Linked DNA regions of Oryzias latipes. The protein of the gene in region 5 interacts with the protein of the main gene of each other region in a pairwise test. Links are inferred from orthologs where the notes say so. Each region holds a gene or a part of one and is shown on either strand. Other genes may lie near its edges.

Region 1 (3,500 bases), on a different chromosome or scaffold from region 5:
CTGGATCGAGCACGACATCCACGGTGAGCGCCGCAGTCACAGAACCTCACGCGACCACCAGCAAGATGAGACAGGCTGCAGGTTTAAGGAGTTTTAGCCTTCATTTTCATTCTCCCGTTTCCAAACAAGTGAACGAAGCTTCAATCTGTCAAATATGTGTTGACCGCTAGCAACTTTAGCATTCTTTGACCCTGACAGGATTTCTTTAACAAGAAAAACATTCATGTTTTTAATTTTTGACATACAGTAATCAGTTCACTTATCAGATTAAATGTTTTGCAGTCAAGAGGCAAAAGAAAAACCAAACAAACACATTTTCTAGCTGTAGTGGTTGTTTTTGGAAGTAGCATTTCATTTAGCATAGCTAGCTTTGTTCAAAATGAATTAGCTTTCTTTAAGCTACAGAAATGTAACATTTCTTATTTGAGGTATTTAAACTTTATTTTGGCTTAATGATAAAATAGCATAATTAGCTTTTCTATTATTAGTCTTTTTTATTTTTTGTCAGATTTTTATTTTTATTATGTTGAAATATTTCAAGCTAGGTTAGCATTCAGCTTTCACGTGACATTTTTACTACTGTTTAGGATTTAAATGTTGCCACTATACACAATTTACATGACTTTTTATACCATTAATGAGTTAAATTAGAATTTAATATTTTCTTTATTGCTTTTTCCCCGATTAGCTGTTAGTCTATGTTAGCTGTGGTTTCTTTCTGATAGAGAGAGAGATGTACACTACTTTAATAATTCACATTAAAATAAAGACACACTTTACATGAAAATAAAATAAAATAAAGGCATAGATAGATAGATAGATAGATAGATAGATAGATGCATACATTTTTTAGTATTTTTTATTGTTTTTTTTTAGTCAAACTTCTTAAAGATTATGTTTAGCCTAAAAGGCAGGTTTTTTTAAAACAGGTTAAGCTAATTTAGCATTTGGCTAATCTGTAGCATCAATTGTTCTTGAGCATTTTACAGCTTTTTTGAAAAAAAATTCTTCTGTATTTTTTTTAGCTTGATGAAAATATAGCATCATTAACTTTTCTGTTATAAGTTTTTTAAGTTTTAGCAAAGTTTTTTTTTTTTAACACTATCCCACGTAGACTTTATTTGAATATTTAAACACGATGAGGGTAAAGAGGTTTTAAGGTTCTTTATTTATGTTTGTTACAATTAGTGGTTAGCCTGTGTTAGCAGGCGTGCTGTTACCTATGCTAATACCCTACAAGTTGCAGGTTGAATCGCAGGTGCTGAACAATATGGATGTGTAAAGAGACCGAGCTAAAGTAACACATTGTTTAGTAAATAACATCCAAGAAGGTTCTCAAGTCACCTGCATTTGAAAACACCTCCCACATCATTATACCACCACCACCAGCCTAAAACATTGATATAAGCATGATGGATCCCCACTTTTGAGTTTTACATGAAATTCTGGCCCAAACACCTACAAGTTAAGGTGGAATCAGGCGATTCTTTAGTTTATCCGTTTTCTTCCGTCCCTCCAGACAAGCCGATTTTCCACTCCGTTGAGCCGTACACCAAGAAGGAGCTGACTGCTGTTTCGCTGCCCGACATCATTCGCACCTACAAGGTGATGGCGGCCGAGAACATTCCAGAGAACCCGCTGCGCTTCCTCTACCCCGCCATCCCCAAAGACAAGGCTTTTGGGAAATACTACCCCAAACCCCCAGAGCGTAAGACACGCTAGCGGATCCGTCGCGCCCTCATTTCTGAGCGCAGACTTTCACGTCTGTCCCTTCCTCTTTTAGCTCAAGAGCCCATGGACGTGGAGAGCTCGCAGCCCAGTGGCTACATGAAGACAGAGCTCATATCCGTTTCAGAAGTGTAAGCGCCGACTGCAAACGCCTTCAGAAGTTACTGACACACGTGCTTCTAACAAACCGCTTCCTCCACCTGGTTCAGACCGCCGTCCAGGCTGCAAGACAACATCATGCCCATGTCTCCGGACGACTACAAGGCACTGGAGCAGTTTGTGGGCCACAGAGACATCGATGCTGTGGTAAGACAAGATACACATCCAGTTCTGTTCACAGTAAGAACGATAAACCCACCACATTATTATTATTTTCATCCCTAAACTGCTTCAAAAGTGCAGAAATTTCTCCTTTCACGTCAATGGATTTTCAAAATAAAAGCTTTTAACGTTTGATGAACACTGTAGGAAAATAGCATTTTGTGGTTTAAAAAAATCACTGTCCAAACAAAACAAAAAAAACTTAAAACACAAATTCTTTCCCATAGAAAAAGGGACCCCAATTTGCTAAAAAGTCACCAGTATAAATAGCATTTTAAGATTTGCAGATAAAGTACTGTTTAGTATTTGAAAATATGGACTAAAAGAGGAAGAAAGATGAAAAAAGTGTTAAGAAAATCACGTTTTTTTTAATGATTCTTAGTCTGTTCAACTGCAAACTTTCTGTCTTTCTCTCCTTGTCGCGCTCTCAGACCAACAATCTGATGGACTTTGGAGGGTTTGACGCTCAGGTACACCCCCAGAGTTGATGGTTCACTCCTTGTACTAACTGTCAGACTCCTTGCACTCCTTTATTTATTAGCATGCCTCTCTAGTTTAGTCAATGCACGGCATTAATGCATGACGCACAATATTTGCTAGTTTGTTGATTTATCCATCTGATCAGAAATGAGAGGATGGGCTCAATTTCTGTAGCTGTTCTAGGAATTTCCAAAGCAATAACCAACGTTAAGTTGAAGCTGCCTGAAATAAAGAAAAAAAAACAATATTCCTGTATTAATGTAAAAAAATATCTGTTGCAGACCTAAAGCAACCCTGATCTGTCTCCTTGCTAGCATGGCCTGCGCTAAAAATGAAACGCAATAAAAATGAGTATTTAGACAAAAAATACCTGTTAGTAATACAAAAAATATTCAATCTTTAAAAAGAAGATAAACATAAGAACAGATTAAAGGCTCCAGATTATGGGTAAATGCTAGAATTGAGGGTGAAAATATATTAATATTAATGAAGAGAACAACGGCTTTGCGCAACACTTGACCAACGTAAAGTAACAGAAAGTCGCTTCCCTCTTCGTGAATCCATCGTAATTACGTTATTTGTGTAAACAGTCAAAAACGTTATCATAGTTCGTTTAGGTGTCGTTTAGGGTCAGATGTTACTCTAGCCTTGACGTTCTTTGAACTACCGTACCTGGCGCTGATATGCGGCATTTTACAGTATTGTAGCCTTTACGCAATTACCGTAAACCAGCTAATTCTGACGCGGAAAATGTTTTGCGTTGTTTATGCAGACGTTTATTTCTTTATGTCGCATATCAGCATAAAGCCTCTTTTTATCCATTGGAATTACGATAATTGTGTAAATGGTTGCAGTAGTTCATAGAACGTGTTATTTTGCTGTCGGCAGAGTTAAAATGCTAAAATTACGAGATTTAAAGCTAAGTGCTAAACTAGATACAAATATTTTATTTTGGACAAAACATTAGCGAA
Region 2 (2,500 bases), on a different chromosome or scaffold from region 5:
TGATTGAGCTGTTGGATGCGTACATTGTGTCCTTGAGGGCTTCGCTGTGCATCTCCAAATGCCACCAGACTGATCTCTGCCACTGAAATAAACTTAATCACACATCTGTAAATGTTACAACCATTTCCTCATAGACCTTCCTGGACTTTGGAGGTCCGCATTTATATTCAGACGCATGAACCAAAGACAAGATTGAATGTTGATACATGCAATCAGCACGCCTGAAGCACGACATGCAACATATTTAACAAACCACAAATGACTGAAGGGAATTAGAGCAAACGCAGTCTGCACTCTGTGCTTCAACAGGCCTGTGTAGAATTTGCTCGCTACTTTGAGAAAGATTTCACATTCTCTTGATTCAGTAAAAAAAGTATAATGTATGTTAATCCCTCAGGTGTCAATCGGAACTCTGTTCAATGCATTTGAGATAATAGTGAAGAAGGGGCTGTTCCTGTCGAAGAGCTGCAAGATAAAGTCAATGGCAGAGTCAATAACAATAAGGTTGTAGGCTTTAATGAGGAATGTTAATTTAAACACAATCAAGTGGATTTCAGCTTAGCTGATTATCAACCTTGGACTTGTATGTTGCTGTTGATAATGTTGTCGGTACAGAGAGGGCATGTTTATCTGTGACTGCTATTTTTAACAAACAATTCAAAACCTTGTGGGTTTATATACAAAAAAAGTTAGGCAACAAAACTGTTTAAAGACATTTATAAAAATACAACTCTGTGTAAAGAAGTAGTAAAATAAACTTTAATTAAAGGATCCAAAGTCACTTCAAGCCTGGTTCGCTGCTCTCTCCTTGATCCCATTCAATCAGCAGCTCCGAGGACACCTCTGTAAACAGATGATCCCAGTCCCAGCTCACATCATCCTGAAGAGCAAGGAGGAACAGAACAGAGGCCGAGAGCAGGAGTGTAGGAAGCAGAGGGAAGCACACCAAGAAGGAAAAGCAGAGAGCAAGGAGAGGAGAATGGGGGTGGGGGGGAGCAGAGGTTGTTAATGTACACATCATAAATCTTGATTACCTGAGAGACAAGAGTGGCAGCCTCCACTGGTGCTTTCAGAACAGCTGGGCAGTTCTTTATGTGGAGCTCAGGAGCTATATTTACTAAAAAAGAAAAAAAAATATTCTCACCTCTTTCACCTCCTGCTCTGGGGCTAAAACCTTAGTGAGAAGCTTCAAGTCGATCTCTCCATCCTGAAGAAGGAGAGATGTAAAAAGTTCCTGATTTTCAGTAACTGATGAGCATCACAGAGCTGAAGAGGCCATCTTGAAAAATGAATGAACCCAAACGCCATGACTTACTAAAGTTTGGAAAGCAGAGTAATGCTTGAGATCGTTGTCCAGATCTCTGTAGGTCATCACCTGGCTCACGTGGATGCTGAGAGTACAAAGAAGTCAGAACAATGAAGAAAAGTAAGCCAGAAAAGAAGAGTACCAAAATAATTATGCCTTCACTTTATCTGATACAAATCTGAGAAATATCTTCAGATAAGTTTGAGGTTTCCTCTGAAATAAGCTTCAGGACTTCAAGCAAAGACCACAGAGAGAAAAAGATGGTTGCCAACTGTTAAACGCTTCAAATTGAAACCCAGCTGCTTATCAGTGGGTTGAAATTAAGTGGGGGGGGGGGCTCTGAAAGTGGCCGGGACCTAGCAGCGCATGCCAGTCCTACTTACTGCACATTATACGCTACATTGCCCCTGCAATGAGTTCAATGTGGATATTATCTCTCACAGAGAGCAAGCCCCAGCCTAATAACCTCCACCACTGTCATAGCCTTGCTACACTGTCGACACATGTCGCCGTGTCTCTCACTGCCCTGTAAATCAGAGGACCTGGGTAGTACGGGGCCTGGAAACGGAGTTGCATAAATCACATCAAACTGTTATTTCTCTATTTCAGACACATAAAGCAAGGCGCACTGCGACATCACAGTCCCCACAGCAGCCTGCTTATAAGTATCCCGGGCACGGTCAAGGGTTAACTGTCACCCGCCTGTCTGGGACGAACAGTTCATATTTATTTGAATCTAAAGTGGTTGGGGGGGGGGTGACTTTAAGGAGCACCTTGGTGGAACAGCAACCTGCATCGTCAGATCTTCCTCCTGCACTTCATCAAGGTCCGGAATCACAGGAATATCTAAAAACAGAAGCAATATGATTGTATCTGGAAAAGCGTCAAGAATAAAGTCAATGCTTATCAATGCATAAATAGTTATTGAAGCACACTGCTTATCCAGCGTGAGGCTGCTGGAGGTGTGTGGGTCTGCATGTCATCTACGCTGTGTGACACTTTCTTTTCTCTCACTGCCTCATAAGAGCTGACCTGTCACAATAGCCATGCGGCTATGAATATTCAGCAGGCCGGGCAGCAGCTCATCCTGCTGTGATGGGGGGTGGGGGGTGGGGTGCTGGCCAGGGGCTCCCCCAGAAAGCCCCCCCCCCACTACCTTAGCATTTGGGCCCTGTCAGCGCCACAACCCCCAGG
Region 3 (3,500 bases), on a different chromosome or scaffold from region 5:
AGGAGCTGCAAAGAAGCGGACAAATGGCATGAAAAGGAGGAAAATGTGTTTTTTTGGGTGCTCGTCTTTGATGCTGAAAGCAATTTAAAGATGACTTAATACTCTACAGATGATCCTAAAAATGCTTTGGAGCAGGTGTCCTAAATTACTGCATGTTGAAGCAATTTTGAAAGGAGCAGAGTCCAGATATTCAGAGCTCAAATGTTTTTAATTAGCTTTTTAATGCGTTTTGAACCTTCTCAGAAAACAATATAATGTTTTTTATTGAGGAAATCAAGTGGTTTACTGTATTGTGTCCTTCAGTGTCCAATAAGATGACTTTTCTTGTTTATTGTTTTTTTTTACTGAAGAAACAAAAGCAGACCAGCTTACCTACATGTTTAAGTTCTGTCGTCATGTTCTAAAACATCCAGAATTTGGTCATATTTCAGCTTTTTCTGATTTAGGGTCTGTTTTTCTAAAAACACATGCTTTTTATGAAAGGATAATTGAAAATCATGTTTAATTTTGCACACATTTAATCTAATTCTTCTGCAACGCCAGAAACATGCAGCATTTCATATAATTGTTTATGGAGGAAGGAGGCAAAAAATTAATTAAAGCAGCTGAGGATTAGGTTGAAAGGTTTTTTGCTCTCAAAGCTTTGGCATCCAAGAAATGAACTGAGAAGAAAAGACAAAAGACGTGTTTCACCAAATGAAATGAGGTTCCAATGGGTACACAAATGCAACATTTCTGTCACATTAAGTGACTTCTTGCCTCTAGTTTCTTGTCTGCTAGAAATAAATATAGGCAAAAACCACAGATGTTACTGTGGCTGTGAGGGATCACTATTGCCTTTTTTTTTAGTTTCTCATTAATTCTGTCTTTTGTTTTTCTCTCATGCAAAAGGGATTGACGCTAAACTCTTATAGTTGTTTGTACTAATGGGAATAAAAATACATGAGCATTCAGCTTCAAATTTATGGCATAATTTTTATTCTAACAAATCTATAGTGCAAGAACACTCAGTTAACCTCTTTTTAGTGCAGAAGTTTTGGTTTGACACACTTATGAACTCATTTAATAGTCAGCGTCACTTACCAAATGTTATATGGCTCCCTACTTAGTAGTTTGAAGTAGAAGATATTTAACAGAATAGGTAAATATACTAAATTGAAATTCATAGGATCGGAAGCGTAGGTATTTCAAGAGATCTCACCCTTGCAGTGCTTTCTCTCCAAACCAGTCTCCCTTCCCAAGGCTGCGGAGGTAGACAGGCTCTCCATTTGGCAAGTCTTCTCTGGTCACATTAACCTGAAAAGAAAAGGGCAATGCGGGTGGAAAGTTAAAGAAAAGACAAGCGTGGCTTCGAGAGGATGAGGTAAAAACAGAGTGAATTGAATTGCACACAGAGGTGGCAGACATTCCTGAGCAGAGTCTGTTACAAACAGATAAGAGTCATTACTGTGCAGGACCTGAGCAAACGCTTGACCACTTCATTAGGGAGATTACACGCGAGTGACGGCCCTCTGCTGTGCCCCAAGACTCTACAAATCAAAGGAATGACACTTGAGCATATTTTCGAAGAAGTGGATGAGATTACCCCTTCGCCCAATGAAGGATCTTGTCTTAAGCCATTAGGTGTAGCAGGAAGTCCACCGCCAGCATACAAAAATGACACGCAGCTGAGTGACAACAAAATTAACAGCGATTCTGTACGATCAAGTAACAGCAGGGGAAAAAAAACATAAAAAATAAAAAAGGAAGATTTGCTGCAGAGTAAATCTACTACTGAAGTAGGCAACATCGGTAAAGTCCGGACATTCATGTCTCAGTCCAGGTATTTATGAGCTAATCTGTTTGCTCTGGGCTATGAAGTGACCTGAGTCAAAGGATTTGACAGCTTGTGAATTTTTTTTCTGTTTGGATTTAAAAATAAGTTGAAGTTTTTTTTTTTTTCCCTCCACACTTCCAATGTTAGTTTCCCACAACTTCTGCCTTTTGAGGCTCAGAGGGACTACCAGCAGAAAGAACAGCTGTTTGTCGTCGATAAGCATGTCCCTATAAAATGAAAAATGAAAAATACGTTCTTGCTTGATGTGCGGGGTGGAAAAAAAATTGCTGAATTCAAGAAAAGCTAGAAGAAAGAAAGAATACTGGCAACCATCGTGGTGTGAAATACATGTGAAAGCCCACAGGCGGTGATGTGACTTCTAGACAGTACTGTGCTCAGTGAAAAAGCCAGTGTTGATTACTGAAAAGGAAAATCAAAGTGACACCATTCTGCTTTCTAGAAACTCCCACTGCTGCTGTAAGGAATGATGAAAGAGGATGTGCTTCTCCTCTATCGCTCGGTGATTGATGACAGCTAAAAATGCCACCTCTTTGCTTTTAAAGACAGGCATTTTCATGTGACACGATGCCTTGCCTTCCGATGAGGATTATATCGAGGTTGCAGCCTCACGGGGCTGTCCTCACCTTTCCTTTGCTGATAATGAAGAAGGTGTCTCCTCTGGCTCCCTGTCTGATGATGTACTCTCCTCCTGCATAGTGCGTCTGGCAGAAAAAAAAAAAAGGGGGGGGGGGGGGCAAGACCAAAGAAGGGAAATGTTATTTATGCTCATTGTGGTTGTTTTACCCTTTTTCTCACCTAGCATGTAAGGCAGTGTCTAAACACTTTTATGAGGGGAGTTAAGATGATCTAGACTAGAGCAATGCAATACAGCATAACTAGACTCGTTGTCTGGTTGAAAGCTGTGTTGCTGCTTTCCGCCCACTGCTTGCTTTGGTATGCACTGCAACCTTTTAATGTGAGGAATCAGGTACAAAATAAATAAATAAACGAATGTTTTTGCATCTACTATAAAAGGAAAAAGAGAGGTCAGTCGCAAGAATACATAAACAGAGGATATCCATCCATAAATGTGTTTTTTACACCCACAGCACTTCTGCTAAGGGTTGAGGGCAGTGGAATGTAACACAGCATGCAACGGGCTCTTGACTCATCATTCAAGCACAGGAATGACATACAAACTAATGGAAACTGAATGCACCTGCTTTTTAGTCAGAACCACCACTTTAAGCAGTTTTTTAACGATGAACCAAGCTAAAGGGTAAATGTTTTGATGGATAAAGAGACTAAACATGTCAGATGTGACATCTTATAATGCAATGATCAAAATAAACTGTGGAAAAGAAAGAGGCAAGTGGCTCAGTGTGTTTAAGAAACAATCATGAGGTTCACAAAGTATCGTGTCAGTTTGGGTTTTCCAGCAAAAAGCTTTCAATTTGATCCTCCTGCATGATAAAACTTACTTCAGACCGGAAACTAGATTTTCACAGAGGTTAACATTTGCCATTTCATTTATCACCTGAATTGAGGCAGGAAATGTGTTAAATGTAAACCGTACAGAAAGTAATTTGGTGACCGCTTAATCAAAGAATTTCTTTTTCGTGAATTGTGTGGTTCAAATGCCACATCACACTTTTTCTCCTAAGAATGTCACAGCACCATTAAT
Region 4 (3,259 bases), on a different chromosome or scaffold from region 5:
GCAGAACTCGTGTGGTCATGTTAGCATTTTACGTTCGTGGTTTTTTTTTGGGTTCTGTCCTTTTCTCAGCTGTTCTGCAAGTTCTGACACAGGGGTCGTGACCTCTGACCCACGTGGAATCCCAGTTCATCCACAAAGCAAAACAAGTGGAACGCTATATTCGTTTCCACATTTTCTGTCATTATATAAAATATAAAGTTAAATCTACATCACCTAATGAAAGTGCAGGGATCCTTCTCATTAGATCTTTTTTCTACCATAAAATACCAGAAGTTATTTTAATTTTTTGTGTAATTAGATATAATTTGACATGAATGAATTTTAGAAATCATTTGAGAAAGTGTTGGGATTTTATTTTCCACACATCAGATCATTTTTGTGCCTCAAAACTTAAGATTTTGTTTGTCATCAGCAGGAGAAGCTTCCTTTTTTGCATCCCAAAGGAAAAAATAAACATTTTTATACATTTTGGTTTCTAAATGACAGCAGTGACAAAGCTGGAAAAAGTCATAACGAATCCTTTATTAAATAAATAGTTGAAATAAATAAGACTATTTGTCAACGAGCCAAACTTACAAGCAGGTCAGAGAAGACGCTTCAGACGGAGGACAATCAGTTCAGGATCTTTGGTCGTGTGACAAAACCCTTAAAGTGGTTTGATGGAGGAGGACCGCCGGGTCCCCGGCTCCTTAACAAGGAGCAGGGAGACGTCCGGAGTGAAATGACCTTCATCTTTGAGGAGGAGGAGGAGGTCAGATTTAGTTAGTTTGGGGAGAAGAGAAGTGCTGCTGTAACGGAGGGAAAAGGAGGAAGATCCGCCGTGGTTTGAGTGCAGGACTGGATGAAATCCTTCATTTTTCTCTCAGAACTCTGCCTCGTGGAAAAGCGGAATCCCTTCAGGCGTGACAGAAAACGTATGGCAGTAGGTTCCCTCTGGCCTCATGGGTTCGGGTCTGGTTCTGCCCGGCTCGGGTCCATAATCTGTGTTTTCCTCCAGCATCCAGACCTCTACCAGGCCTCGGAGCTGTCGCAGCTGGATCCGGGCGACGGGGCTTCGGTGTCGCTGGCGACGGTCCAGCGGGGCGGGGGGGAGCGCAGCTGCTCCATGTTTCCTCTGAGGAAGGTGAGCAGAGCTGTGGGGGAGCGGCCGTCCGGCTGGCCGCCCTGGCTCTCCAGCAGCCGCACCAGGAAGTTGATGTAGCGCATGGCCAGGCGCAGGATCTCGTTCTTGCTCAGCTTCTTCTCGGGAGGATGGGTGGGGATGAGCTTCCGGAGCTCCGCGAAGGCCGTGTTGACGTTGTGCTGGCGCCAGCGCTCCCTGGTGTTGGTGAACACCTTCCTGGTCATGGCGCTGAGCACAGACACGGAGGCAAAACGCAGATTTTTTTAGAAACGTGGTTTAAAATGACTGTTTCACTGCAACTCTGTGCTTCATACGTGATCTAATCTGCTTCAAAACCTTCAGATTCCTTCATCCAAACGAACATTTTGGAAACATTTGATGCACATTTTATTCCTACTGGAGGTTTGTGAGGATCTTAACATCTAAAACTGCAGGAAATGTTTACCGTGAAAAGTTCAGGATGTTGGAATGATGCTGATGACAGATAAAGGAATGCGTTTCTCTACTTTTCTGAATCAAAGGTGAACCTGAAGAAGCAGAAGGAAGGAGTGCTCACCTGCTCAGAGGAAGAACGGCGTGAAGAGTGAACGAGGGTCCTGCAGGAGTGTCCTCTCAGATGCACGTCCTCCTCCTAATGAGGGGCAGGACGGGGACACAAAGGGACGGAGTGAGGGTGAGGAGGCTTCTGCCCCACATTTTATAGCAGGCTGCGCTCCATTGTGTGACGTCGCCTCCCCTCTTTGTGCCGTTTGGTGCAGAGCACAGCCCAGTTTGATCGCCGGGGACCAGAAACACACCGAGAGGTGTGATGATGAAAGGCGCTTCGTACCGGCTGCTGATTTAGGATTCATTGGTGGTTTAAATCCCCGAGGTGAAACTGAGACGTTAGTCTGTGACGGCGGTGGACCCTCCTGCCTCTTTGACGTTCGGCGTGGACCTTCTCCAGGAAAACACCTTCATGTCCCAGCAGCTCCGCCTGATTGGACCACAAAAGGTAAAAATGCCACATCCAGACTGACAGTCCCACAATGCGCGTTTTGTCAGGACTATGGTAATCTTGTTGAACCATTTCAAGGGGCCACACATAAATCCCCCCCCCCCCCCCAACACCACTTTAAAGCTCAGATAAAAACAGGAGTCTGGTTTAACCAATCGTCAGTGGTCTTTTTACGGCCTTCAAGTGTTGTTTCAAAGACGCAGCCTTCTGTAAAAAAAAAAAAAGTCTCTGTGTGGAGTAGGAATTTACATAATCCGATTAGGGGCCAGGATTAGCCCCGGGTCTGGAGAACAGGGCCCGATGGGGGCCGGGTTTCTGAATCCGTCCATTTATCAGCCCCACTGCGCGTCCAAGAGGCTGCACCTGCGGGCCGGCCACGCCGCGCTCCGCCTCCAGACGGGACGCCGCTGCACTTTTCCAGCCTCAACAACTTTGACACAAACTATCGATTTCTAATATTTCACTTATTCGTTCCGCTTTTGTCCCCTTCAGTTGATAACATGCATTATTTCCCAGCTCTTTCCTTTCAAACTGAGTTTTTTTGGCTTTATTTTATTTACCCCCTTTGGTCGCAGGGCCCCAGATTTACTTAGTGTGGTAACAGAACCCAAAATGTGGCGTCCGTGTACGTAGGTCTGAAGAGGTTAATTATCAACACATGCCAACGTTTTTCAGATAATCCCTAATAATTTAATCCGTTTTCACTTCTTCTGCAGATATTTTCTCCTGTTTGTTTTGTTTTTAATCATAGAAACACAAAATATAAAAAAGTCTGATATTCCTGTAAATATTTATGAAGATAAACTAAATTGTAGGAGGGGGGGGGGTACATGTTTGTTCAGAAATAAGAGTTTTTTTTAAGGGAATTAAGATTAAAACAGAATCAAATGAGTTTTTAACCATGAGTGTATGTTTCTGCATATGTTTGTGTGTAGTTTTATGTTTCTAAATAAAATGTGTTCTCATTAGAGAAGAATAGAAAAGGCAGTGGGGGGAGAAATAGTTTCTTACAGACTGAAACCCAGCGAGAGCTAAAAATGTCCACTTCAGCCTTTAGAAACGTTCACTTTGTTCCCACTACGCCTTTTCTTTAATAAAGTGTAGCTTTTAAAAACTTATATTTAAATTGTAACGGTTCC
Region 5 (4,052 bases):
TAGTCTCCGTTAGTCTGTTAAATTAGTTTAGCAGTGATGTTTTTCTGTGGACTCACATGTTTGCTTATATGTTTTTCAACAGTTCCTAGGAAAGCTAAATGTCAAATGCTTTGACATTTGTCAAATGCTCTTAGTCTTTCACAACCTCTTGTAGTGAAAGAGATCAAGTTAATAGTAGTAATAAAAAGTTAGCTTTTTCTGGGGTGTTTTTTTTTGTGTGTCTCTTTCGGGGTCACGGGGCTGCCGGAGCCTATCCCGGCCACTTGTGGGCAAAGGCAGGGGACATCTTTATATGCGCTGGCCTTTATTAAATAAATAAATATAAATAAATATAAATATAAATCCTGGACAGGTCGCCAGTCAGTTGCAGGGCCTCAATCACACACTCACACCTAGGGGCAATTTAGAGTAACCAATGAAATGTTTATGATGTGGGAGGAAGCCGGAGTCCGGAGAGAAAACCCACGCATGCATGGGAAAAACATGCAAACTCCACACAGAAAGGTCCCCCATTGGTGTTCTGTTTCAGGTCCCCCAGCCGGGACTTGAACTGGGGGCCCTTCTTGCTGCAACCAAGAGCACTAACCACTGTTCCCCCCCAAAAGGGTAGTTACAGTTCTGATAAATTTATTTTCATCTTTATGTTACCCTCACTTAATCAAAAATATAATATAGTAAAGTAACTCAGATGGTCTGGCAATTGTTTTTTCTTTAATGTCATAACCAGGGCTCTGTAGATCAGCTTCTCTGCAGCAAGATCTTGTTCTCCTGTTTTTCCAATTCTGTACAGTAATGATGCCACATTTATTTAACACAACATTAACCGAATAGGGGATAATTCCGATAAAGCAAAAAATAAAGTTCAGAAAAAATATGGTTTTGAGATAAAATATGACACATGTAAACATCTGATTCTATATAGCAAATTACACCTTTAATCCACATTTTATACTAAATTGAATGAAAATATATTATGAATTGTCACCCCCCCCCCCCCCCATTTCACACATTATATATTAAACATTTTAATAAACAGTTCAAACTGTTTGTTGGGTTTTTTCACTATTTACTTTCTATTGAACTGTTTTTCGTTTTGGATCCAGCTCTCTGTTCTGTCCTAATAACTTTCTCTACATGATGATGGAGCTGCGGGCCAGGACACTTGTCTGCTGACATCACGACGTTGGTTATCTTTGCTCCATCAGCGCCTCAGGGGGAGAGAATTTCCCCTCACGTCAGTGTCGGTCACGACTCCGCTCCACGCCTGACAGAGCAGCCGGCGCGAACTTCTGTCGCTTTAAGACCGATTTCCCCCCATTGTCAGGCAGTCGTGAACAGGAAAAAGAGCAGTCAGTCACAGAATGGGGTGGGGGGTCATCCGCACGTTTAAGGCAGCTCCAGTCTAACCCCCCCTGGCCTGTGAGCGAATCCGCGGTGTCCTGGATGGCGTGGAGGTGCCAGCGCGCGCGTCAGCCCCAGGAAATGATGACAGCGTCCTCCATCGCCGCTCTGCTGACTAGAACAATCGGCCTTTTTGGTTATTCCTCCGCGAACATCTCGACTGAAGTCATCTTCCTGAATCAGGTCGTGCAGGGGGGATCTGGGCGCCGGTAGAGGCAGGTGCAGCGGCTGCGCAGGAGCTTCCCGGGACGCCGCAGAGAGACTAGAGGCTGTGGAGTCCGAACCCCGGAGCTGAGGCGCAGCGCATCTGGAGAAGAATGGTATCCACCATAGAGAGGAAGACGCTGGAGGCCAGCGAGTATGTGCTTTCCTTTTCCAAAGAATGAAGCTCAGGGTTCCTTAAGGCTTTCAAGGACATTGTCATCACAATTTAGAAAGCAACCAAACGGCACGTTATTTTAGGAAAGCAACCTCTGCAGTTAGATTCCACAAACAGAAGGTCTGGAATATGCAAAAGGCTTAGTAAAAAAACTAATCTTCAGGAAAAAACACACTAGACAGCAGTACAATTAACTATGCAGAACGTTAGTTTTACTTAAGAAATCTTATAGCAAAAAACATAATAAAATAAAATCTTGAAACAAGAAGTTCCACAGTAGCATTCTAAAAGGGGGAAAAATGGGTTAAAAAATCTAACTATTAGAGAGAATTACTGAAAACTGATTGTTTTAAAGCCCAATAAGTATTTTTTGTCATAGTTTGAGGCAAATGGTTTGTATTTTTTTTAAACTAATTGCAGTTCATCTTAATTGCAGTGCCAAAAAAACGAGTGTAATAAATGGAAATGACTTATTTTAGAACAAAATGTGAACAAAACCAGAATACGATCTAGCACATTTACTTAGAACATAAATCTAAATGTTTGTTTTGAAATTTAATGACAATAAATGGCAGTCTACATTTAATAAACTAAAAAATAACATCCTAACTGAACCATAAAACACAACAATTTCAGTGCATTTGAGTCATATATTAAGTTTTTATTCTGTTAAGATTTGGAGCAAAATGATTTTGACTCAATTTATTAATAATTTCCTTATTTCTACATACTAGTTCCTAATGAGACATAGGAATGTTTTCCACTGTACAGATTTTAAGAAAATCTTGGAAAGGTGTAGAGCAAAAGACAAATAAAAACAATTTCCAACCAGTTAAAATATCTTGAAAGTCTAAAACCAAGGTTTACAATCAAGTATCTATAAGTATCCCATAGTTTGTAGTGTGAGAAAGGGGAGCAAACAATCTTGTAACAGTACAAAAAAACAAATTGTATTGTATACACTTTCCAAATGTATTAATTTAGTATTTTAATCTGAAATATGCTCCTTCTCCAACCTTGCAGCTCCAAGCTACAAGACAAAAACATAAATAGTAGCATAAACCTTTGCAAATCAGTTGATAAAGATAGAATTTATCGGGGCACTAATAATGACATTTTATAGAATATGTTACTTTCAAAAGAAAATTGTATCAATTGGATAAAATGTGTTTGTTTTTTTTGAGCTAAGAGGAAAATCAAATTAAATTACAATAAATGAAGACTATGATCGATCTTCAGGGAATTCATAGATGATGAAAGTTCAATCCAGTTGTTTTTAATCTTCTTTTCATTTATATCAGGGAGCCGGTGGACGAAGTCCTGCAAATGCCCCCCTCCCTGCTGACATGTGGAGGTTGTCAGCAGAACATCGGGGACAGGTTCTTCCTGAAAGCCATCGAGCAATACTGGCACGAGGACTGCCTGAGCTGCGACCTGTGCGGCTGTCGTCTCGGAGAGGTGGGCCGTCGCCTCTACTACAAGTTGGGAAGAAAACTATGTCGACGGGATTATCTGAGGTTGGTCTGATGTCAATGATTATCTGTTTATTCCCTTATTTGAACAATTTATAAGAAGTATGCAGATCTAATGGGATATTAGGGGAGCACTGTCTTTTATTCTGGTGAGTCAGTTGAATGGAGATGCTGGAATGTCTTCTTGTAACATTGTCTTCCTTATCGATCATGCTCCACTCAGGCTGTTTGGTCAGGACGGTCTGTGTGCTTCCTGTGAAAAGAGGATCCGGGCGTTTGAGATGACTATGCGTGTGCGAGACAAGGTCTACCATCTGGAGTGTTTCAAATGCGCCGCCTGCCAGAAGCACTTCTGTGTGGGTGATCGCTACCTTCTCATCAACTCGGACATTGTCTGTGAGCAGGACATCTTCGAGTGGACTAAGCTCAACAACAGCAATATGGTGTAGCAGAATCTCTGACTGCTTTTCAGGATGGGATGGAACAAACCAATATCGCGTGGGCTCTGAACAGAATCCCTTTTTGCAGCCCGTATGGGTTTTATCGACCAACACATCGGGACTACAATGAACACAATGTAGTGTTGCACCATCCTGTGGAAATAACAACACCAGCAATACGAAAATATTCCCAAATGCAAAAAACGTTTTAAGTACGAAAAATTCTTAAATATGCAAAGAATAGTTTTGAACTTTGTAGAAAAAACAAAACAAACTTTGTTTTAAGGTTGTAAGTTGTTTTTGTCAGGCCTTCATATCTACAAGTGGATTCAAAACTTTAATTAGAAACTGGGTTGTAAT
Region 6 (4,100 bases), on a different chromosome or scaffold from region 5:
AACTGCTACTTCATTATTGGGTGAACATACAGGGTTGTGCAGTTGAAGAGCACATGGTTATGAAAGCCATTGTTCCCTGTTGGGAAAGTGGTATTGGGAAAAACAAAAGTGTTGCTTGGAAATTAGCTAGATTAGTGAGAGAAACAAAGATTCATGGTAAAACCATAGTAAAGACGTTTTTGTACCAGGCCACTCCTTTCTGGGGTTTTCCAACCGTGCAAGTGGATTTTTATCTCCACGGGTAGATGGAGAGTAGCAAATGGAAGGGACACTGGGATGAAATCCCAGCAGACAGTTTAGACACGTTACATGCCTCATTTATTCCCATATACACATGGATCTAAAGACCCAGAAACAAAGAGGACTGGTTTTTCTTTCTGTATCCTTACATCGGGGAAATATGTTGGAATCAAAACATCAAAGGATCTTTCAGTTTTTGCAGTTGAAATGTTTGCAATATCATTTAGTTTACACTGGTTAGAACAGAATAGAATTAGAGATGGTATCATTTGTTCAGACTCATTATCAGCATTGATGTCCTTGAAATATTTTTCTTCCGATAGAAGGTCAGATCGAATGTATAAGATTTATGAGAGTTTATTCAGGTTGGAAGAATTGAAGATAAGCATCAGATTTAAGTGGGTACCAGCACATAGGGGGTTGGAGGGAAATTAAATGGCTGATTTTCTGGCAAAATGGGCGTTGAAACGGGCGACAGAGATGGAAATTCCTTTAGGCAGAACGGAGATTAGGGCGATTATTAGGAGGCGTATTTTGGAAGAATGGCAGGTACAATGGGAAACGGAGAGGAAAGGTCGACATCTATTCAGTATTCAAGACAAAGTAGGGAAAGGTATGAATATCAGAGTAAACACCAGAGATCACGGCATAATATCACAATTGAGGATAGCACACACTGCTCTAAATAATACATTACATCTGATAGGGGGAAATCCAACTGGTTTGTGTGATTGCAGGAAAGGGGAAGAATCAGTGGAGCACGTTTTGTGTCATTGTGAATTGAATGGGGAAGAAAGAAGAAAGCTGGAGAAGAGTCCGGTTGCCAGAGGGTGAACGGCTGAGTTTGAAGAAGCTTTTGGGAGGGGAGGAAAATTTAAATGGTGCATTATAGGTTTTTTGAGCAGAACCAGATAATTGAGGAGAATATAGTTTTGTTTATTTATTTATTTTTTAAAGTTAGGTAGTCCCCCACGCCGATCCATACTCCAATACGGTAGGTGGCGGTAATGCACCTTGTTGTTGGTGCCTCCCGCCATTTAAACCATGAGAAGAAGAAGAAGATTTTTTTTATAGTAGGGCAGTCGTCCGCCATTTTCAGCACAGCGACTAGGGAATCGTTTCTGTTGTTCGATTCTAAAAGCAGTTTGCTGCGTAATTGTTTTTGGTAAGGCACACTTTTCCCAGTGAAAATGTCTAACGAGCAGGCCGAAATCACGATCGAGAATGCGAGCCAGGAGCAGCAGCAGGAGCAGCAGCAGGGGTGAGCCCGAATGCCTTTGTTGTAAGAAGCTAGCAAGACCGACTAACGTCGTTAGCAGAAATGGTACTCCGTCTTAATAACCCATGCAAACGACTGGCCAAAGATCGGATACTGCATAAAATAAAACACATGCTACAGTCGGTTATTTCATATACATTTATTTAAACGCGTGTTTTTGTGTTGCTGCGAAGCTTTTGTTAGAACGGGGGAGGAGTAGGGCCCACTTTACTTTGAGACTGGCTCGCGGCCTAACCATGTGGTTGAAGCGCAGCCTTTCAAGCCGTTACAAGTTCCAGTACTTAAATATATTAACAAGCACATTTGAAAAGTTTGCATTTGCGTGCTTTAAGTTGTTTTTTAAACTATAAAACTATGTAGAAGTTTTGGTATAAATAAAATATTATAACGGCTGTTAGCAATCCACGCTCCATGATGATGATGATCATGCACCGAAGACTAGCCTTGTTTTTGCATCTTTTTACCCTGCTATTATGTTGAAGAAAGACGAATAATGCCTAAAATAGTTACTAATGTATTGTAATTTAAACACTTATTGTTTAATATGTTTTATTCACTTAGCAATGTGTGTAAAAAAAGGTTTTTTGACTATTAACTTTTCTAATTTAGAGAAATGAATGGAAAAGCCAATTCTGACTCCAACCAAAGCAGGAAGGAGAGACCCCAGAAGAGGGGCGGAGGAGGCCGATATGAACCCTACGGCAACATAAACAAACGATACCGTGTGGTTGTCAGCAACATTCCCTATGATGTGAAATGGCAAACCCTTAAAGACCTGATGAAAGAGAAAGGTAAGGTTTTCAGATGGGGTGCTGGCTCATGCCAGCTCATAAGTTAGGGTAAGCATCCACGATTTTAGTGTTTGGATGCTGCAGCTTTGAAGGATTGGGAAAACAGTGTTTTGAGAATTTGGTGAGTTACTCGGAACAAAGGTTCAGGATTATGCCTCTTGTCCACCAACTCAGGTGTTGCTGCAGAATTGTACAAAGGTGGTGAATCAGGATGTTCAATTGAACATGCAACCCATTCTGACCATTCTTTAATCAGGTTTTTTGTGGAGAACGAGGCCACTAGTGTGAAAATCTGGATTTGATCAACAAGGACTTATTTTTCTATGAATTGCAACCTGTAACGACCAGTAAAGCTTAAAAATGCACCGTTTTTGAGAGATGTGACCTTTTAAATGTCCTGCTCGGCAGCAACTTTGAATTGTGAAAAGATGACTTTAAATCTGTTTATAAAAGAGTTGTTGCCTGTAGTCAAAGGAGTGCTGGATCATCATTGGTGTCATCGATAATCCAACGAAGTGAAGCAATCCTCGTGTTGACCAAGCGCTTTTAACTTGTTTATTGATAATTGTTTGTAGAGTAAATTGCATTCTCTTTTTTTAGGTGTGACTTGGACAAGCAAATGTTACTCATCAGATCCCCATGTTGTGGCAAACACAGCTTTGTGCTGTGGATGATTTTTGGGGTACAGGTCTACAAAATAAAGCAACTTCTTTTGTACTGTCCTTCTCCTCAGAGGTTTGGTGACTCTTGCCAATGTCCTATAAATACAAGCGATCCCCAAAAAAGTGTGGCTGTGGTAGATGCTGAACTAAAATTCAGACTTTATTTACTCTTATCTTTGCTTTAGTAGGTCATTTATAGCTTGTAGTTAAAAGAATGGTCCTTTTCCGCAGGGCTTGCTATCAAGAATATTGTCCATTTTGGGGGTCAAAAACATGGCGCTGCCAGTTAAAGTATGCTCAGGTTTGCAATGAAATGGGTGGAGGCTTTGTTCATCACGATTTTTGTCAATTTTCTTCATGTATTAGGTGGTTGTCAAGGTAGCATATCGAAACAGTTGGCCAATTTAGCAGTTGGTGTCCACAGTCTATTGTTTTTTGGTGTCTTGGTAGAACTACAGCGGGTGAAAAGGACAGACTAAGAAGTTTTAAGTTGTTTTCTTTAAAGAACCAAGCTTGCTTTTTGTAGACCTGTACCAAATTGTGTTGCTGAGGTGCTGGGGGAAGCTCAGGACTTGCAGTCTGAGCTCAGTCACCGGCCGTCCTCCTTGTTTCTGCTCTAAACCCCCATTGTTCTCTCGGCTTCTCTCCCCTTGGTGTGTGTCGTCTCTGGAATCTGATTTGTAGTGGGTGAGGTAACGTACGTGGAACACTTAATGGACGCAGAAGGCAAATCGAGGGTAAGTGCAAATACATACAAATAAAATATACAAGCCCAGACAAACTCTTGTTTGTCAGTTTTGGTTTCCTTGTTTACATTCCCGGGAATTGTTCAGATAGAAACTTGGTTGATTTTTGTCAGTTGGAGACATGTTGGAAGTGTTTTACTCGGTCTTAATCGTGGCACTGACTTGATGCAAACCTCAAGGGTTGATACTCTTGAAAACTGACTTGAGCTTTTCTCGAATTCAGTCCTGTGGGTTGCAGAAGTTGACAATGTCCCTACTGGTTCCTGGATATGCTCCTTGTGACCTTAAGGGTTTTAATCTGGAAGAGGTTGTTATAAAGTTGCTAGATGGTTGTTAAGCATAATGCCTTTTGTATAACTGGAATGTTACTGCTCCAGTACCA
Region 7 (3,975 bases), on a different chromosome or scaffold from region 5:
AAACTACTTTAAACAACTTGTGGGGACACAATAACAGCCAGTGGTGTGCAAACGCTGTGTAAAGACAGTTTTCATTTATTTTTTCTGACATTGATGTCCTGGAGCTAAAAAAAAAAAGAGGAAAAAAAACAGATAAACTTTGTCCACTTGCTTATCTGTTTCTGCCTCAAGTTTCTGCAGGCGATACTGAAGTTCGAGTTTTTAAGTCCAAGTCCATGTCTCAGGTGGCATCTAACCTGCAGCTGCCACATAACTGGGAGCATTAATGAGCTGTGAGCAGTGACCCTGCAGCAACCACTGCTAACCTCTGCAGCCACCACTTTAACTTCTGCAGCACCACTGAGGTGCTATTTTGGTCTGCTCCTAAAACTTTTTACAAGATACTTATTGTATTCATAAATCTGGAGGTCCTTTGAACTTTGCCATAAACACACGCATCACAATTTATTAAAAAAAAAGGTGACTTTTAACATGAGCAGACACATAACTTTTCATTGGAAAAGAAGCTTTCACTACTGTTTTTGAGTGATGGATTAAATAATATGGCTTTAGATTAAATTTTAATTATTTTAACTATGATGGTATAATTTATATTTTGTTTTCCTGAGCAAAAAAGGCTTCTCAAACCCTCTTGCCTTTAAAAGGATTTAAGCGTCTCTACAATGAGATCCAGCAATGAATGATTACAGCGATTAAAAAAAGGTCAACTAGACTTTTACGTAGCATTACATCATTTGGCAAAGTCTTGTCTCTGCCACTCAACCAAAACAGAACCTGGTGATTGTCTCATGACAGCATATTTTAAGGTAAAAGAGTTTCTGCTGGTGTGTGCGCGACATTTTGGTGCCAGATAAGCCTTAAAATCACTTTATCTGTTGCTTCGACTTAAATAACACACCCTCCAGCAGTGCACGCCCCTTTGCATGATTTTGCCTTAATCCCTGTTTGAGCAATCAGTAACATTTACTGTCACCGGGTTAAATAGCTCATCAAAGCATGACAGTATTTGGTCTCCAGGAGAGGATAACGATAAGAAAAAGGTTATTTCTAACTTTCTCTGTTCTGGTCTCATGCTTTGGGACACACAGAAAGGGAGAGGGGGGGGTGTCAACCTGACTTTTCAGTCATGTGTTGACCTAACTGGATGATCTAATGACTCACCTTCCTCTTGGCAGCTTTGGTTGTGGAGGTTGTGACCTCCACAGAAGCCAACAGCACACAGAGCCTGGAGGGATGCAGAACAGAGGGGGAGAGAAGTGGCAGAATCACAGGATTAAAAATGACAGCAGCTGAATGGGGTTCTTTTTCTAAAGCACATCAGTACTCCATGACCTAAAAGTGCAGCTAGAAGCCATTCACGTTCACACATAAGACTCTCATTATTCTAAGCCTATGTGATCTGTCTCAAATATTTTCCTTCAATTTACATTATTTAGCTGAGGTATAGGAATGTTCCATTCACTAAATAACCTGTTTCACCTGAATGGAAAGGTGTTTGTCGGGAAAAGTGATGACAAATCTCACGATGACCTCGGGGTTCAAACGTCTCAATCAATCTGGGAAACTCTTGGAAGTGCTTACAAGCACTTGCGTGTTTTCCCTCTGCACACACCCGGAGGATGTGGTTTTAACACTAATATGCAATAACCACACACAGGCTTAATGAGCCAACATCGAAAACAATCTGGGGTAGGACGGTTTTCCTGCAGGGAGGTCAGGAATTGGGATAACTCTAAGAGAAAATTAAGTTTTTTCTTTTTCTGTAGAAGTGTCAAAAGCTCACTTGTTTGTGTGCGAATGTCGGATCTATTTAGAAAAATCTCACCCATACACAAACATTCTGAGACAAGTGCAGTGGAAACAAGTGGAATAACGTCCTGCAGTCTGCCAAGAAATTGCTCTGACCGTGCAAGTACAGCCGGGCTCGCTGGGATAAAGTTTGCAGCGCTCACCAAGAGAACCAAACCATCACCGCAATCTCCAGTCCGCAAGCCACATGTAGGCAGTGTAATTGGTTCGTTTTACCCAATGTGGTGCACCGCCGCGGTCTCTGGAAGCTTCCCCACGCTGCAATACACAATTACCCCCGAAAAACACAGAGAAAAGTCCCGGACAGCCCGACACAACAGAGCTGCTCAGGCCGAAATAACGACCCCCTACGCGGTTCCACGTTTCCACGGCCGCTACTGCAGAGTAAACTCACTGAGAGGACAGGGAGAGGGTGAGAGAAACCTTTAACTGACAAATACTTTCAGAAAAGTCCAATTTGAGTGGAAACACACAGTTTTTACTCAAAAATGCGCGCCTCTGGGTAAATTCCAACCATTTAACGCAGCGAGCGGCGCGCAACAAGTGAGCCTCGCGCGTAAAAGTTTCCCGCACCAACAAAACCACCGTAGAGACAGTCAGCACAAACACTCAAGGAAAGATGCAAATCCACATGCGGCGACAAGAATCAGTCAGCAGCTGGACGGGACCGACTTTTACCTGATCAGTGAACCGAGCTGCATGCTCCAAAATTCTCCTGCACACTGACACTCTCAGTGATGCTTTGGGTCCAAATCTGAGCTTCGTTCCAGCCTGAAAGACATGCGAGGACTGCTCCTGCTCTGTCACCGGGAGGAGTTCCGTGTGTTCCGTTCAGTCCACAACTTTTCACAGGTCCTTCCTTATTATAAACTCCCGTGACGCATGAAAACCAGGTGGGGGCACAAAGAGACGCAGGGAGAGGGGAGACACAAAATGGACAGATTATACAACTCTCGCTCGGGCTCCTTCTCACTCTCACATGCACAAATTATACACTCCCCCTCCTCTCCCTCACGCCTTCCTACCCTCTCTCTCTGTCATACTCACAAACTGTTGGTCCTGACTAAGCAATAATAATCCTCAGAGCCTCGTTTTAGTTGCACAATCGAGAAAGAAAAAATAACGTTTCCTTGTGCGTTTTCTCCCACACTGAATAATAATGAGCGCAGACGATCCTGAGCCTTCTTCAAGAAAGTTGGGAAGGGACTATCTCATGAGTCTGACACTCTGACAAGCTCAAATGATGTGGTTTACAGTTTGAATATGATTCATAGTCCCCCCCCCCCCCATTCTTGAAAAACAAGCAGATATTTTTACATGAGAAAAACATGCATTCTGTGCACTGTTTAATCCCATTGAAACACCAGAAACCAAACATGCTTCAGCAATTTGGTGTTTGGGATAAGTGCACCCAGGAGACAAGCCACTTCTGAGGCTGAAATGTGCCTCTCTGAGTGTGTATGATTACATATGTGTGTGTGTGAGGGCTGAAACAGATGTGAAAAACCATCTGATGCCATCTCATTTAAACATGATGAAATGACAATCCACACAGCCCTGCCCAGCCAGACACTTTACTAAAATGAGTAACTTAGGTCAAATGACCCTCAGGAGACATGGTGACACACACACACACACACACAGGAAAAAATTATAGGTTCTTTACAAGATTTCTCCAGCGGCACGTGTACAAGAAAGGGCTGGTGATTTCTAAACCAATAAAACGTAACTCAGTTTGAAGGAAAAGGCTCAGGATGCACACAAGCCTTTATGGAGTTTATACTGTTCACTCAAATCAGGACTGGCATCAATGTAATATTTGAAAGATGACATGTTTTAAGAAATTACTCCAAAATGCTTAATTTTATATTGAAGTCTCCTTAGTCTTTTAATCATGATTAGGCCGTTTTAGGCTGAATTTAAAAAAAAAAACACGTGTCATTTTCTAGGACATAGTTTCTGCAAAGCAGCAGGAATCATTCAGAAATTCACCTCTGAGTTGTGGGCGGCACTGTTGGTGCAGAGTAAGCCTGCCCTCCTTTCCCATCATCCCTTTGTTTACCCGCTGTGCTGCTAGCTTACAGCCCCTCAGGAATTGGTGGCGTAGGACCTAAATTGGAGGAGAGATCAGGTGTGGTGGCAGTAACCATAACATATAATAAATAC

What was found.
Region 1: the proteins of lmo2 (region 5) and signal transducer and activator of transcription 1-alpha/beta interact in a two-hybrid assay, tested with the Homo sapiens proteins (2 studies listed by BioGRID and IntAct). The two-hybrid records come from large-scale screens. The link is inferred for Oryzias latipes from reciprocal best matches to the Homo sapiens genes LMO2 and STAT1.
Region 2: the proteins of lmo2 (region 5) and ift43 interact in binary tests that used the Homo sapiens proteins (3 or more experiments, as listed by UniProt). The two-hybrid records come from large-scale screens. The link is inferred for Oryzias latipes from reciprocal best matches to the Homo sapiens genes LMO2 and IFT43.
Region 3: the proteins of lmo2 (region 5) and prkg1 interact in binary tests that used the Homo sapiens proteins (3 or more experiments, as listed by UniProt). The two-hybrid records come from large-scale screens. The link is inferred for Oryzias latipes from reciprocal best matches to the Homo sapiens genes LMO2 and PRKG1.
Region 4: the proteins of lmo2 (region 5) and tal2 interact in a two-hybrid assay, tested with the Homo sapiens proteins (2 studies listed by BioGRID and IntAct). The link is inferred for Oryzias latipes from reciprocal best matches to the Homo sapiens genes LMO2 and TAL2.
Region 6: the proteins of lmo2 (region 5) and hnrnpm interact in binary tests that used the Homo sapiens proteins (3 or more experiments, as listed by UniProt). The link is inferred for Oryzias latipes from reciprocal best matches to the Homo sapiens genes LMO2 and HNRNPM.
Region 7: the proteins of lmo2 (region 5) and thrombospondin type-1 domain-containing protein 4 interact in binary tests that used the Homo sapiens proteins (3 or more experiments, as listed by UniProt). The two-hybrid records come from large-scale screens. The link is inferred for Oryzias latipes from reciprocal best matches to the Homo sapiens genes LMO2 and ADAMTSL4.

What each region holds. Positions count from the first base shown.
Region 1 is NC_019860.2:3,984,223-3,987,722, reverse strand, and holds part of signal transducer and activator of transcription 1-alpha/beta, read left to right. Parts: coding exon 1-23; intron 24-1,519; coding exon 1,520-1,708; intron 1,709-1,783; coding exon 1,784-1,859; intron 1,860-1,937; coding exon 1,938-2,034; intron 2,035-2,480; coding exon 2,481-2,519; intron 2,520-3,500. UniProt on the Homo sapiens protein: Signal transducer and transcription activator that mediates cellular responses to interferons (IFNs), cytokine KITLG/SCF and other cytokines and other growth factors.
Region 2 is NC_019880.2:13,343,686-13,346,185, reverse strand, and holds the end of ift43 (intraflagellar transport protein 43 homolog), read right to left. Parts: intron 2,153-2,500; coding exon 2,080-2,152; intron 1,392-2,079; coding exon 1,316-1,391; intron 1,208-1,315; coding exon 1,145-1,207; intron 881-1,144; coding exon 779-880; 3' UTR 501-778; downstream 1-500. UniProt on the Homo sapiens protein: As a component of IFT complex A (IFT-A), a complex required for retrograde ciliary transport and entry into cilia of G protein-coupled receptors (GPCRs), it is involved in ciliogenesis.
Region 3 is NC_019873.2:20,229,321-20,232,820, reverse strand, and holds part of prkg1 (cGMP-dependent protein kinase 1), read right to left. Parts: intron 2,539-3,500; coding exon 2,461-2,538; intron 1,297-2,460; coding exon 1,202-1,296; intron 1-1,201. UniProt on the Homo sapiens protein: Serine/threonine protein kinase that acts as a key mediator of the nitric oxide (NO)/cGMP signaling pathway. GMP binding activates PRKG1, which phosphorylates serines and threonines on many cellular proteins.
Region 4 is NC_019867.2:1,963,492-1,966,750, forward strand, and holds tal2 (T-cell acute lymphocytic leukemia protein 2), read right to left. Parts: upstream 2,044-3,259; 5' UTR 1,953-2,043; exon of another isoform or gene 1,755-1,952; 5' UTR 1,680-1,754; exon of another isoform or gene 1,645-1,679; intron 1,526-1,644; exon of another isoform or gene 1,352-1,525; 5' UTR 1,348-1,351; coding exon 1,009-1,347; 3' UTR 501-1,008; downstream 1-500.
Region 5 is NC_019864.2:14,855,688-14,859,739, reverse strand, and holds the start of lmo2 (rhombotin-2), read left to right. Parts: upstream 1-1,252; 5' UTR 1,253-1,718; coding exon 1,719-1,759; intron 1,760-3,081; coding exon 3,082-3,297; intron 3,298-3,475; coding exon 3,476-3,701; 3' UTR 3,702-4,052. UniProt on the Homo sapiens protein: Acts with TAL1/SCL to regulate red blood cell development. Also acts with LDB1 to maintain erythroid precursors in an immature state.
Region 6 is NC_019862.2:8,453,058-8,457,157, reverse strand, and holds the start of hnrnpm (heterogeneous nuclear ribonucleoprotein M), read left to right. Parts: upstream 1-1,300; 5' UTR 1,301-1,430; coding exon 1,431-1,501; intron 1,502-2,128; coding exon 2,129-2,310; intron 2,311-3,656; coding exon 3,657-3,709; intron 3,710-4,100. UniProt on the Homo sapiens protein: Pre-mRNA binding protein in vivo, binds avidly to poly(G) and poly(U) RNA homopolymers in vitro. Involved in splicing.
Region 7 is NC_019874.2:19,008,227-19,012,201, reverse strand, and holds the start of thrombospondin type-1 domain-containing protein 4, read right to left. Parts: upstream 2,801-3,975; 5' UTR 2,511-2,800; coding exon 2,488-2,510; intron 1,226-2,487; coding exon 1,162-1,225; intron 1-1,161. UniProt on the Homo sapiens protein: Positive regulation of apoptosis. May facilitate FBN1 microfibril biogenesis.